2 linked regions of the Saccharomyces cerevisiae S288C genome follow. The protein of the gene in region 2 purifies or fractionates together with the protein of the main gene of each other region. This does not show direct contact. Each region holds a gene or a part of one and is shown on either strand. Other genes may lie near its edges.

The links.
Region 1: the proteins of VRG4 (region 2) and KEI1 purify together in Saccharomyces cerevisiae (affinity purification with mass spectrometry, with the first as the bait; one large-scale study listed by BioGRID). This does not show direct contact.

The regions. Positions count from the first base shown.
Region 1 is NC_001136.10:1,210,764-1,217,327, reverse strand, and holds KEI1 (Kei1p), read right to left. Parts: upstream 4,481-6,564; coding exon 4,451-4,480; intron 4,350-4,450; coding exon 3,714-4,349; downstream 1-3,713. Other genes in the region: XRS2 (Xrs2p), read left to right, coding at 1-2,312; trifunctional aldehyde reductase/carbonyl reductase (NADPH)/glucose 1-dehydrogenase (NADP(+)) YPR1, read right to left, coding at 2,486-3,424; MOR1 (Mor1p), read left to right, coding at 4,492-4,890. UniProt on the Saccharomyces cerevisiae protein: Regulatory component of the inositol phosphorylceramide (ICP) synthase which catalyzes the addition of a phosphorylinositol group onto ceramide to form inositol phosphorylceramide, an essential step in sphingolipid biosynthesis.
Region 2 is NC_001139.9:73,612-82,009, reverse strand, and holds VRG4 (GDP-mannose transporter), read right to left. Parts: upstream 5,117-8,398; coding exon 4,103-5,116; downstream 1-4,102. Other genes in the region: NIF3 (uncharacterized protein), read left to right, coding at 1-584; EDC1 (Edc1p), read left to right, coding at 824-1,351; Golgi transport complex subunit COG1, read left to right, coding at 1,645-2,898; SDT1 (nucleotidase), read left to right, coding at 3,153-3,995; MTC3 (Mtc3p), read right to left, coding at 8,299-8,398. UniProt on the Saccharomyces cerevisiae protein: Involved in the import of GDP-mannose from the cytoplasm into the Golgi lumen. Defective copy causes severe glycosylation defect and abnormal retention of soluble endoplasmic reticulum proteins. Involved in vanadate sensitivity.

The sequences.
Region 1 (6,564 bases), on a different chromosome or scaffold from region 2:
AAGTTGGCGAAACATTTACTATTAATGCCTCGGACGTTTTAAAGTCCACAATAATTGAACTGGGTACAACTCCTATTCGTATAGAGTTCGAATGGATAAATGAAGTCTGGAACATTCCTCCTCATTTGACACAATTCAGGACGATGCTTTCTGAATATGGTATCTCCACTGAGATTTCTATTAATGATATTCCCGCTAATCTGATGATTAGCGATTACCCAAAGAGCGAGGACAACAGCATACGGGAATTGTATGCCCTTGTTAGTACTATACCCATGAAAAAATCACGGTTTCTGATGGAATTGTGTAATACTCTTCTTCCCACATCTAAAACTAATTTAAAATTTGATGAAATGTGGAACGATATGATTAGTAATCCGGAGTACAATGTTTTTGATTTTGATCCAAATATTTTGCTTTCGAAGTTTATGAGGCTGAATAATATCAGAGTGTTAACTACTATCAAAAGTGAACCACGTCTATCATCTCTCCTGCGGACGTTCAATATAAATTTATTTGCATTTGACAACATTGATAGTTTATATAAATATGTTGACAGCTTGGAAGCATCAACAGAATACCTGATTTTGACAACTACAGATAAGAAAGAAAATGGGAAAATTCTATGTACTATCAAAACGATGTTAACATCAATAATAGATGGCACCTTAAGCGCAGTGATTAATATGAAGGGTGCATCTTCAAGAACTCTAGATAACGGTAAATTTGATCAAATTTCTGAAGGAATGTCTACTATTTTGAAAACATCTCGTGCACCTGAAGTTGAAGCTAGTCCAGTAGTCTCGAAGAAGCGAAAATTAAATAGACGTAGAGTACTACCACTCGATAGTCTTGATTTTTTTGCTGGAGGTTTGAGTACTAAGACTCTATCAGAAAATAGGTCTTTAACTGACGCTAAGAGACTTAATTGTGGCGCAGAATCAAAGACTGTCATTTCAAGTCCCAACATTGCAGAGGCAGATGAAAAGCACGCCCCATTTCTTCAAAACGCACTAAAGCCGACTGAAGATATTGGAAAGAAAAGTGGTCACAGTAGCCCTGGTGCTATAATTGTCAGTAGCCCCAACTTAGGTACTGTGAACACGAGTGAGGATTCGTTGGATAAGTCGCTACAGTCACATAAGTTACCACAGCCGTCATTGCCGGAGGTAGCAGGGATTGGCTCTCAAACCATATCTTCGAACTCCGCTGACTATGAAACAGCTGCTGTGAATTCGATGGATGATGCTGAAGTTACTAAGAATTTTAGGGTGAATCATCACCAGAATATAGAGCAACCCTCTAAAAACATCCGTAAACTTTCTAATTATTCACGAGAAATTTCATCTCCATTACAAGAAAATTGTAAGTCACCTGTAAAAGAGTTATCTATTAAAGAGAAATCTGGTACGCCGCACGCATTTGTTGAAGCTATTCAAGAAACTAAAAATAGAGAGGTCAAAAGAGTTAAGTCAACCATTGTTGAATTGAAGGATGAGGAGTTGAGCGAGGAAGCTATTAATCAGCTAAAAAATTTGGCTATTGTAGAACCTAGTAACAATTTACTGAGGAAATCATTTGATAGTGAGGGAAACAAAACAAGCAGAACAACTGAAAAATGGGAAAATAGCCTAATGGAGCCAGAATGGCATAAACGCAAGAATTTCAAGACTTTTGTCAAGGTACGTCCAAAATCAAAGGCGCACAAAGAAGAGGGTAAAAATAACACTCAAAGCTCAGATTTTATACGAAATGCAGCCTTTTTAATCACTAGAAATTATGTTCCGTTAAAAAAATACTCCAAAAAGGATACAACTACAAAATGGGGCACAGAAGAAAACGAAGATATGTTTGCTTTGACGGAGATGGAAAGATTTGGATCGAATACATTTATGTCCGATAATATAAACTCAAACACTATCCAGAAAAGATCTCAAGCTCTAAACAGATTCACGAATGAGGATAGTTCAAATGAAGGAGAAGAAGATTCGTTTTCTTTTTCTCGTTGTTCAGGTACTGCAGCCAGCGTTCAACCACTAAAAAACAAAATTTTTATTACTGATGAAGATGATCTGGGTGATATTGATGATAAAAGCGATAGACTAAATCACAGAGAAAATAATCGTAATCTTTTTGTGGTGAAGGAAATGAACTTACGGCCAAACTTGTCAGAAGAATGTTCCAAGCAAAGTAGACACAGTAGAAGCGCAACTAGTAGATCACGTGGCTCTTTTGGGGCTTCTAATAACGGTGATGGCGACGACGACGATGACGACGGTCCGAAGTTTACGTTCAAAAGAAGAAAAGGATAATGATAAATTTTCCGAGTATTTCCAATTTCATTAAATTATATTTTGCATTATCATTCGATATATGTGTATATATTATATGAAAATTAGTAAAATCAATGTTTGTTTCAGCTGTATCGGATCGGTTTAAAGAAGCACTACAGGTTGCTGGAGGCATTAACTGTAATGTAGCGCGCTCATTGGAAAATTGGGAAGGATCCCCACTTCATATCAACGACTCTCTTTGTACCATGCACTTTGGATAGGTTACTAATAGTCTTGAAATCATCCTCAGGCAGAGTGAAAATCTTAAAATTGGATACAATTCTTTCAGGATTAACCGATTTGGCCAGAACAACGTAGCCTCTTTGAATACTCCAACTGATAATAAGCTGTGCTGGCTCAACGCCGTGCTTTTTAGCCATATCAATAATTGCTTGCTCTTTTAGTAAAGGAGCATTAGCACTCCCAAATGGTGAGTAGGCTTCAACAACAATACCCTTTTCCTTACAAAAGGCAATCAATTCGTCTTGTGGTAGCAATGGATGAATTTCAATTTGATTAGTAGCTGGTACCACCTTGTTATTTGGAGATTCTAATAATTCTTTAATGTTGTTAATAGAAAAATTAGAGACACCAACGGCTTTAGTTTTGCCCGTCTTTGGCAACTCTTGCATCAACTCCCACGTCTTGATAAAATTCCATTCCTTAGTATCGATGTCAACAGTGCCATCTTCTAATGTTGGAATGCACAGAACGTTACCATCAGTAACTCTGTCGGTTTTCAAAGGCACTGGCCAATGCATCAGATATAGGTCAACATAATCCAAGCCTAGTCTTTTCAAAGACTTGTTTAGAGCAGCTTCCGGATCACGTTGTTCCGTACCCCAAAGCTTAGTAGTAATAAAAATTTCCTCACGAGGGACTCCGGAATCTTTAATAGCCCTGCCAACTTCTTCTTCATTCAAATAGATAGCCGCAGCATCAATGTGTCTGTATCCAGCTTTCAAAGCTGCAATTACAGAATGGTAACCGTTATTGTCAACGGAACGCCAAGTGCCGAAACCCAACACTGGAATGGAGGCACCAGTATTTAGTTTTAATGTAGCAGAAGAATTCTTTAACGTAGCAGGCATGGTAGATTATTATCTGTGGGTATATTTGCGACCTGATTATATTGCAAAGTTACTTTATTATCACTTTAGAAAAGAAAAGGGTTTCACGGAATTGAATTGCAACCAAATAGGGAATTGCGTGCTATATAGTTTCCTTTTTCCTTTTTTTTCAAAATTACGTAAGAGCTACTTAAATACACACGTGATGAAAAGTGACAATAGCATCAGTGAGAATGATTTTATGATGTCAGAATAGAAACATTTCTTCATCAGTGTAAAACGCTATAACGCTAGGGCTTTATTTTACTATTTACTCTAACAAATTCTTACATAGCTTATAACAACCTTTTTGGCTCTTAGCCCACAGTCTTTTCCAAATAGGCTTGTTTTTCAAGTTTTGTTCTACGTCATCCCTATCAACTAAATATTTGGGGTGGTGTAACAATTCTTGAACAAAAGATGCCAAAATGAAGTTAAAGTAGAACCTGAATATCAATGACACCAACGTAATTAAAATAGTCATGGTATATTCGTAGCTTTCAGTTGCACTTTGTTTACTTATATCAATACCACGTTCTGTCAGCTTACCTGTCGATATTGGGTTACTTTGTAGTGCATTATTTCCATCAATATTAGCAGTGTCTTCCAAGGTGAACCATTGCGTGGTAAACCATAGAGTAAAAAAACAAGTGGAAATGGTATCGATTGTATAAAGTACGCAGATTTGCGAAAATACCAGCAAGTTTGGCTTATGAATCAAATACAGCCCTTGTGAGAATACGATTAATGTAAATACCGACCAAAGATATGCTATCCATTGCATAAAATCCAACGGATGACCCGTGAACAATGCTAAAATACCATAAGCACCACTGCATTTGTTTAGAATGGAAATACCTAAGACAATCTCAACTGCAAGGTATAGCGGCATAAACCCCAAAAAAGACTATGAAAAAAAAATATGTTTGAGAACAGGTTAGTAAAATTGTGCTTTGCTTCGAATCCTTACAAGTTAACAAAAATTTATAGCGTTTGCCGGAAACATACTTTTGGAAGGGTTAGAAGAGATGATCTCATAACTAAGGTTAATGGTTACAATTGGTAGTTCCTCCCTGGTATTATTTCTTTTCTTCGTAGTTTTTGTACAGATCACTTATACAGCTTTACACAGATTTTCCCGCTTGTTGTGCACTTTTTTTTCGAAGATTATTGAAGAGGGATGCGTTTGGTACAATAAAAAACATAGGTTCCCAAACCTATATAAATATATATATGTATATGTATATATACTACATATATGCTTTGAGAAATATGTGAATGTTGAGATAATTGTTGGGATTCCATTGTTGATAAAGGCTATAATATTAGGTATACAGAATATACTAGAAGTTCTCCTCAAGGATTTAGGAATCCATAAAAGGGAATCTGCAATTCTACACAATTCTATAAATATTATTATCATCATTTTATATGTTTATATTCATTGATCCTATTACATTATCAATCCTTGCGTTTCAGCTTCCACTAATTTAGATGACTATTTCTCATCATTTGCGTCATCTTCTAACACCGTATATGATAATATACTAGTAATGTAAATACTAGTTAGTAGATGATAGTTGATTTCTATTCCAACATACCACCCATAATGTAATAGATCTAATGAATCCATTTGTTAGTTAATAGTTTAAATGTTTTTATCGGAAGAGGTTTTGTCATCACATCAGCAATGTTCTTCTTGGTCTCGATGTAGTATACGTATAAATTATTACCTGATACTTCATCTCTAAGTCTCATTGCCTTTGTGCCAAAAAATCTGTTTCTAAATTTCTCTTCATTTGTAGACTTAATTATACTGATCGTTGATCTACTATCAGTAAGTAAGCCTTTAATAATTGGTTTCTTGTTAAGTTCTTGCACAAGGTGACTGAGGTTATTCAATAGCGGTATAGCTTCACTGACTGCGTGTATTTCTGCTTCTGTAGTTGAAGTGCATGTTAACGAAGCCTTTGTCGACTTTCCTCCAATCACTTTTCCGTTGAGTAGGAAAATGTTACCAATTTGTGACTTGTAATATGGTTGGTTACCATATGAAGCATCGCTTATTGCGACTAGTTTATTATCTGGCTTGGTAGGTTTGTTTTTGTGCCATATTAATTGTTTATCTCTAGTGTCCCACATGAATTGTATTAACTCATATGTCATGTCTAAAACTTGCCTAGAGGGGAATAGTATATGTTGAGCAAGTGTGTTGATGTAGTATAGTAAGTCAAATCTAAATTTATATCCAACATATGAAGCTAGACCAATCAACTTTTGCATTTCATGTACCTTCTCTTTGTATTCATCTTCATCTATTTCTAGTTCATCCTGGTCTATATAAAGACCTGGTTGACCTGGAGCGCTAAGTTTTCTTCCTTTTGGATTCAAAGGTACGTTTAATTTGGGTATTTTCTCAGTTAATGAGTTTTCCATACCTAATTTCATGTATTTACCTCTTTGATATTTGATTTCTAAGCCAAGTATGTCATATTGAATTTCCTCATCACTTTCGCCTAGATTTATAATCTTGGTGTCGTATTGCATCTTAAGCTTCTCTATAATTCTTTTGTTTGAATTTAGATTTTTGCTAAACAATACCATATCATCTACGAATAAACAAATTGTCACTTGACTGTTTTTAAATACGCATGACCATCCACGAACTTCTTCCATACCACATTGTTGTATCAGGTATGATTTGATAGTTTCGTACCAGTTCGCTCCACTTTGTTTCAATCCATAAAGTGATTTCTTCAAACGTATCAACTTATCATTCATTCCTAAATGTGGTGGAGGTCTTATGTATAATTCTTCTTTGATGTCTGCATACAAATATGCCGAAGATATGTCTAATTGTGTAATATAGTAGTTATTGTCTAATGCAAGTGACAGGGATGTCATTAATGCATAGTGATGTACGGTATTGGATTGCATGCCTGAGTCGTAAGTGTCAGGATGCTGAATATCACCTCTTGCAACAAATCTAGCTTTATGAGTACCGTCACGTTTCTTGTTGAAGATAAACATTGAGTTTATTACTCTTTTAGGGTCTATTTCTTTTCTGTCATAATATTCGTCAGTGTCCCAAGTTTTCATCTTCAACAGTTGATTGACTTCTT
Region 2 (8,398 bases):
CAAACCCACAACACGAGACAGCTATAAAGCTAATCCAGTACGGAATATCCGTATACTGCCCTCACACTGCCGTAGATGCCGCTCGTGGCGGTGTAAATGACTGGTTGGTTAGGGGTTTGAACAACGGAGAGAACGTCGCAAAGTCTTATGCCTTGGAAACTGTAAGTGGCGAAACTGACGACTTGATTGGCTACGGTAGATTCGTAGAATTCAATAAAGACATCTCTTTGGAGCAAATTGTCAAAAATGTCAAGCGTGTTTTACGGGTTCCCTATGTACAAGTAGCATCTCTTGCTGCTCCATCCGCATGGAATCAACTCAAAATCAAAAAAGTCGCTGTCTGTGCCGGGAGCGGTTCTGGCGTGTTTAAGCAACTAAAAGAGGACGTAGACCTTTACTATACGGGAGAAATGTCACATCATGAAGTACTGAAGTGGAAAGAAATGGGCAAGACCGTTATTGTTTGCAACCACTCAAATACTGAGCGTGGATTCCTTCAAGACGTTATGAAGGGCTTGTTGCAAGATGAGGGCCACGAAGTAGTCGTAAGCAAAATGGATTGCGATCCTTTGACTGTTGCATAGCTGCTAGTAATTATATGGCTATATAGGATATCACAAATACCATACGTACTACAGTTTTATCATCCGGCTGTTCGTGTAAAATGATGTTGTTGTATCGGATAGAGAAATACGGATAGAAAAGGTAAAAGTCTTCAAATAACAAGGACAATAACATACTCTGTATTGAAGACGAAGTACTCAGCAAAGCGTAACGTAATTACACTTAGCACACAAATATACTCACACAAATATTACAAGGCATGTCGACGGATACCATGTATTTCAACAGCTCCAGGCTGTTGCCATCGGCTGGCAGGAACAAGACAAATAATCTAATCAAACAAAAAACTAGAAATAATCGTGCGAGGGGAAATGCTGCTAAGAACGCCAATAATAACAACTATATCACAGATATACCACCTCCTCAAACTCTTCCTAACGGTCAGAAACCTAACTTCGGCCATTCTTCCAACAAGAAACCATCATTTAATCAAAAGAAGCACTCTCCACCTTCTTCCCCTTCCTCTACAACTACTTTAGGTAAAAAAAACAGACAGAATAATAAAGAAACGCCACGACAGAACAACAAAGATGATACTCGTTTACTGAGTCAGAACCTAAAGAATCTGCTTCTGAACCAGAAACAATCCCCGCATGGCTCTCAAGGGATAATACCAATGGGTTGTAATGGCAGTGCCAAAAAACTCAGTCACTCTTATGCAGGCTCCACTTTCGCCACTAATGGTCCAAGGGAGGCTAAAAACTTGCCCAAACCAAGTTTTTTATAATCACCCTTTAGAGAGACATTTTTGATTTTTTTTTTTTTTTTTTTTTTTTTTTTTTTAGAATAATGCATATTTTTATTTGATATATACCTATGTACCAATTATACGAATGCTTATGTCTGTTTTGGATCTGGTCATCCAAAGCAATTTCTCAGATGACAATTTTTTTTTCCTATTTTCTGTTACAGTTCATCATTATGCTGAAGAAAAATGAAACATGGCGGTGAATAATAAATAACACATTCGTACAACAAATCTTGTGGTAGAAAACCTAAAAAAAACCAATACGATAGAAAATGGATGAAGTCTTACCATTGTTTCGCGATTCTCATATTCCACAGATTAAAGATTATCAATTGGAGTTACAGAACGATTTGACTAAAACCAATGAGGCCTTCCAAAAGAATTTGCTAAAGAACTATAACAAGATCTTAAGCTTGACCGATTCTGTTAATGACTTGTCGCTCAATTTGAAAAATGTTGATCAAGATTTTAAATCCCTGTGTTTCAATGATGAAAAATTTCAGTTGAATAAGTTAACTCCACTACCATACCAAACCACTACCCATATATCACCACCTCGTGACGAAGAAAAAGTCAGCATACCATCGCAAAACATTTTAGTAATTTCAAATTGGACCATCTCCATCAACAACTTCTGTAATCGTATAGTTACTTCCACTACTCCGTCGCGGATATTCGACGAGCTACTGTTGAATTTCCACGAATTATCTTTGATACCAGTTCCTTCCAAATTTGAAGCGCTTGTCAAGGACAAATGTTGTCGACTACAGAAGTTCTTGGTGGACTCTATGAAGACATTAAACTTAACTTTACTACAGTGGGTAAAACTATACAATTTACTAAACACGGAGTTTTCCTCGAAGTGGGACGATGATTTACTTTCTATATTCAATGAATCCCTATTCGAGACACTATTTAACGATAACGTTCAAGCGTTACTGATATCAAGTGCCAACAGCAAAGATCATCAATATCACTCCAATCAGCAATATAAGGACGCGATTGTTGTCGATTTTGTGAATTCGTCCACCTTTAGAGACCATCTCATTCGGAGAACCGTGAAAGAAATAAACACACATTTGGATACACTCTCTACTTTGAGAGCCAAGCTTAAGGAGCCTGAAACTCTTCATAAATTAGATATCTTCCATGATAATGATACGAACCTCAATGATGGCACTGTATCTCCACTTGATGATGATGCATTGAAACAATATATTGATACAGCGGTATTCTATTCAAAAGGTTTAACCAATGATACCACGTTGCAAATTTATCAAACGGTGCAGCCTACGATTGAAATCCTACAAAACTTAGAATTGTATAAATGCCCTCAAGAGACACTGACAGATTTGAGAAATAAATTGATTACTCAATTGCAAGAGTTTAAGACTCAGATCTCATCCCGCTTACCTTCACCACTGGAAAACTCAACGAGTGTTGTGGATGATTTTATAACTTCGTACAACAATCACAATCTCTTGCAATTAGTCATCGATCAAATTACTCAATTAAGGCAACAGTAATATAATAGCACGAGGGAGGGTACCCGCCTCGCAAACTTATTGATAATGATAATGGTATGGGCGTTGATATATACATATATATATATATATATATATATATATATATATACATAATATATATATGTTTATCTGTGTGTATCTATGTGGACTTCAATAAGTGATCGCCTTCTTGATATCATATTACTCCCCCATTTCACCTGAATTAATTTCGGAATACATGAGTAAGCTCTTGGACCGAATCATTACTAGGCTTCATGACTGTTGAATATACTGCATCCGATTTGGCAACCTATCAGAATGAGGTGAACGAACAAATTGCCAAGAATAAAGCACATCTTGAATCATTGACTCATCCAGGTTCGAAAGTGACATTTCCGATCGATCAAGATATTTCTGCTACACCTCAAAACCCGAACTTAAAAGTTTTCTTTTTTGATATCGACAACTGTCTCTATAAATCATCCACGAGAATTCACGATCTTATGCAACAATCTATACTGAGGTTCTTTCAAACACACTTGAAACTATCACCTGAAGATGCTCACGTTTTGAATAACTCTTACTACAAAGAGTATGGACTTGCCATAAGGGGACTTGTAATGTTCCACAAAGTGAACGCACTGGAATATAACCGGCTTGTGGATGATTCCTTACCACTACAAGATATCTTGAAACCTGATATACCATTAAGGAATATGCTGTTGAGATTGAGACAATCGGGAAAGATTGATAAATTGTGGCTTTTCACCAACGCTTATAAAAACCACGCAATACGTTGCCTGAGATTGTTGGGTATAGCGGATTTATTTGATGGATTGACATATTGTGACTACTCTAGGACAGATACGCTGGTCTGCAAACCACATGTTAAAGCATTTGAAAAAGCCATGAAGGAAAGCGGGTTGGCAAGATACGAGAATGCTTATTTTATAGATGACAGTGGGAAAAACATCGAGACAGGTATCAAATTGGGCATGAAAACATGTATTCATTTAGTTGAGAATGAAGTAAATGAAATTTTGGGGCAAACACCAGAAGGCGCTATTGTCATTAGTGATATATTGGAGTTACCACACGTTGTGTCCGACCTGTTCTAAGGTATATCAATTTTAAGTATAATTGTATATAAATCTACTTGCATTAGATGCCTCTATAAAATAAAATAAACCAAAAAAAAAAAATAAATTGCACCCCCCGTAAGTTCTCATTTACGTAAAGGTTGGGCTTGTTGCTTCTTTTGTTTGGCAACAGCATAAATAATACCTGATAGGAAACCAATAAAAATGGAGAGAATAGATAAGAAGTTTCTTGGAGCATCAAAGAAAATCAAACCAGACAAGGCAATTGGCAGCTTGTTCAAAGCCCCTACCATCGAATATGTAGTAGACGAAGTAACACGAACACACCAACCGGAACAGTAAGAAATACCGACGGATGCAACACCACTGATGATCATAGCAGTTAGCGAATCGTTAGAAAAGTTATTGGTCAAATTAACTGAAGACCAATCTTCCACACAGAAAGAAAACAGCAATAGAATAGGTAGAGCCAAAACATTGTTGTAAAACATAGTGTCGAAATCCTTGAAGTTAGTTAACTTAATTCTCTTTCTCATTATAAGAACGAATAATGCAGAAGTGATACAGTTGGTGAACATCCAGAAATAACCTGGGTTAAAGGAGGCAACAGCACCGGCTGCTCCTTCAGCCAATGAAGCAGCCTTGGCAGCCACAGCTTGCTGGTCACCCCAAGTTGCAACGACAGAAGAAAGGACCATCAACAAAAATGATGACAATTCCATGGAGGTGACAGAGCCACCAAAAAAGAGAACCTCACCATAAGCAATCAAGATAATAGTCAAATTCTTGAAAATGGTGTAAATTGGAACAGCCAAGTATTGTAAAGCCTTCGAAGAGGTGTAGATCATCAAGACCAGTAAAAAGGAAATAGGGAACCAGTTCTTGGCGTCTGTTTTGTTTAATGAACGGAACTTCGCATAGCCCAGTATACGTAGGATAATCAAGGTTATAGTACAAACCAAAGATTGCACGAAAAGCATGACAAAGTTCATGTTGAAATCCTTCAAATTGACGACGAACTTGTTAGTCACCGTCATTAAAATAGAGGAACCACAGTAGGATAAAATAGAGATCGGACCGGAATTGGCAACTGAAGCCCAAGGGTTATGGCCTGCATGACCTGTTTTCAATTCAGACATTCGGGCGAAAGATACTGTGTGGTTAGTGTGTTTGTTTTCTTAGGCTCTTTTGGTAATTAAGAGGATGTCAACAATTAATCGGCAACAAGAAATAGGCTTGGCAGCGTTATATATATTCTGTTTTTCTGTTCATTGTTTGTTCGGATCGCGAAATTTCAATTTTTTTCTTTCTTTTTTTTTTTTTCGGCCAAAACTATTATCCAAGGCTGGGTAAGAGGATTCTGAAAAACCCGTTTAGCTTTTCGTATATTGCGATTCATTACGCGTTTAGGCGACGTGTCTTCTTTCGTCAACTGTGATATTTTTCGTGTTATGGGCGGCTAATTCTTTATAAAAAGGGAAATTTAATCATTATGGCAAACTCAAATGGTGTTCCTACATCTATATACCACCATGCCACTTTGTACCACCAGTCATATATTTTCTTCTACTCATAAGGGAGCCGCATATATATATGGCGCACATTGCCATGGTCCATTACAAGCTTTTTTCTCGTAGCACTTTAGAATGTCTATTGAGTTGCAATATTCAGGCAAAAATGCGTTCTATCTTCAGAATGTAGCTGTTGAAATTGTTGTTTGACTTTTTTTGGACTAGTAGCCGTCTTATCGAACCAAATAGAAGCATATGTTACCTCATTATTCTCTCAATATGGTATTGGAGCGGGTGTGGGTGTGTTCCTTTTGTTCTTAAACGATAGGTACGCATTAAACACCGCTTATGCAGATGGTACATCATATACTGCTTATACCCTTTCCTACTTCAGATGAATATGCAAAACATGTACCGCAATGATGCGAGAGTAACTTTAACAAGAGCTCTTTCGCGTGTGTAGCGATAATATTCAGGGGCGACAAGTGTAGTAATGAAGATATAGTTCTCACCGGTACCTAGATGTCACTACTCGGACACCAGATTACTGTAGCAAGCAAGGTCAATGTCGAGACTAAGCATGATCATAAGTATTGGCGCCCGACATTGCATTTTTTTCCTTGAGATCATATCACAGTGCATGCCATCACAAATAGTTACTTTGATTATTTCAGTGCCATCGCATGACTTCAGTTTTATTACACCTTTAATGATGTAAAAGCGCCGTCAAGATACTAATATAGACGCACGAGTTTCGTTCGCGCGTCTTGGTGAGATTGAAAAGTTATTTTGCCTTTCTTGTCGAGATGATGGTATTTCCCTTTTTTATTTAACATTCATTAATTCCTACCTGTAGTTATCAACCTTTACAGCAACGCAAGTGAAGTGGCTTACTATATAAGCGTAACTCCAATGTGCTTGGTTAGTTTTGGAAAATTTCAAGGCGTTGTTGCAGAATTGTACCTTTAAACATGTCTACAACAACTATGTGGATGTAGCATCTCTATCATGACGCAAACGCAAACATCTCTCTCTCTCTCTCTCTCTAAGTCGCATGTTAAGGCCGATAGTACTGGTTTAACAGGGTTTGCCAAGGCCTCAATCGTTAAGTTAGCTTCTCCACTTTCCCCAGCATCAATCTTATGGTATGATCAACAATCTACGAGGAATTGCAGAAATGATACCTGTATCACAAAGGAATTTGCGTATCATAGCGTCAACTGGAACCATGGATGGAGCTGAGAATTTATTCCTCATAAACGAATTCAAGTTTCTTTCGCTCTGCCAACACAAAAATTTCAATTTCTGTCCTACTTATGTCCTATGAGAGCCATAATTTACACCTCACGTACATAGTTGCGGTAATATGATAAGTACACTTTTTCTGTGCTTCATTATCGTAGCGATAGGTATACCACTCATCGTAAGTGTGGACGTAGCGATGGAGGTTTCTGTGCCATTACCACCACAACCATTCTACTCTTGTAGTGATGCCGCCAACGTGGAATTATGTGGTATCGTTGTTATCTGCCGTTGACTACCCTCGGTCCAACCAACGTAAAGGCCAATCTCACTTTCTAAGAAGGTCTTATCAGGGTTGATACGGACAAACTCTTCATAGCCTACGTCGAAATCAAATTCTGCTGAAGCTGTGATTGTAATCAAACCTAAAATGGTAATTACTGCTCGAAAAAAAAGTAGAGAAATTCATGGTTGACGCTCAAGTTCAGGGATCTGAGAAAATCTTTTATTCGTACGTCCCATGTGCTCGGTCATACTATGGCTGCTATATATACAACATGGTTGTGGAGAATTTACGCAGGATGTGCCTACTACCTTGGGAGCTACTAATGTCGTATATTTCAAGTGTCTGCATGAAGACTGCATTATAGTCCCTTCAGAGTTTTCTTTGATCGTTTACAATGATCATGGTGAAAGGATTATTTCTGTTATAGCTGGCACACGACAGTCACCTATATGGTAGTTACTAACTAAATATTGCTCAAAGTCAATTCCCAACAATGGGAAGCATGCTGCGATTTTAACAAAGAAGCAGCAGTACCCAGATACGGAACTGGATTAGACAGAGGAGGAAAATCATAAGGTACACAAAATTTTTTGGGCTTTAATTTCTCAAAATGTTTGCCGGTAAACCTGTACATTCTTTTTTCACCATCAGTCTATCTTGTAATTAAGTCTTTCATGTAGTATTGAATCTGCAATATTTTTTAACCAACTATCAATTTTCGTGTCAACAAATTACTCTTTACCATGTAGACAGCTACTGATTCAGGCGCACATGAAGACCTATTCGCTTATTTAACAAATATTAGCGTATTTTTTGAGACTATTAACGTGTGTAGACCTCCAGAGGCTGCACTCTAAAAGCCCCCAGGGATATGTCTATACTGTCCTTTGAGAGTTATACGTATGAAAAATAGTAAGGAGACGTCTCTAAGCGTATTTAGAATATACGCTAAGAGTGACTAATGTAGGTAAGTGCGCAGTAATGGCTGGTAAACTTTTTTTTATACTAGTGCCATGTTGTACTGAACTTCAATTTTACAACTAAACTATGAAGCAAGTATCTTATCTTGGGGTTGTATATTTCAATTAAGTGGTTTCGTGGTCTAGTCGGTTATGGCATCTGCTTAACACGCAGAACGTCCCCAGTTCGATCCTGGGCGAAATCATTATTTTTTTGAATTTTTATATTAGTTTATTTACAGGGATAGATAATGAATGATAAAAAATGAATAGAACGTACTCTGCGCAAGCGCATATATATATATACTATTGTTGCTTCCAATTTATACAAGATCCCTTAATTGTTCCTCTAGCTTTTTATCTTGTTTCCAATTATAAAATGCAGTCGCTGCACCGCCAAATAAAACAAGGTTGAACACTATC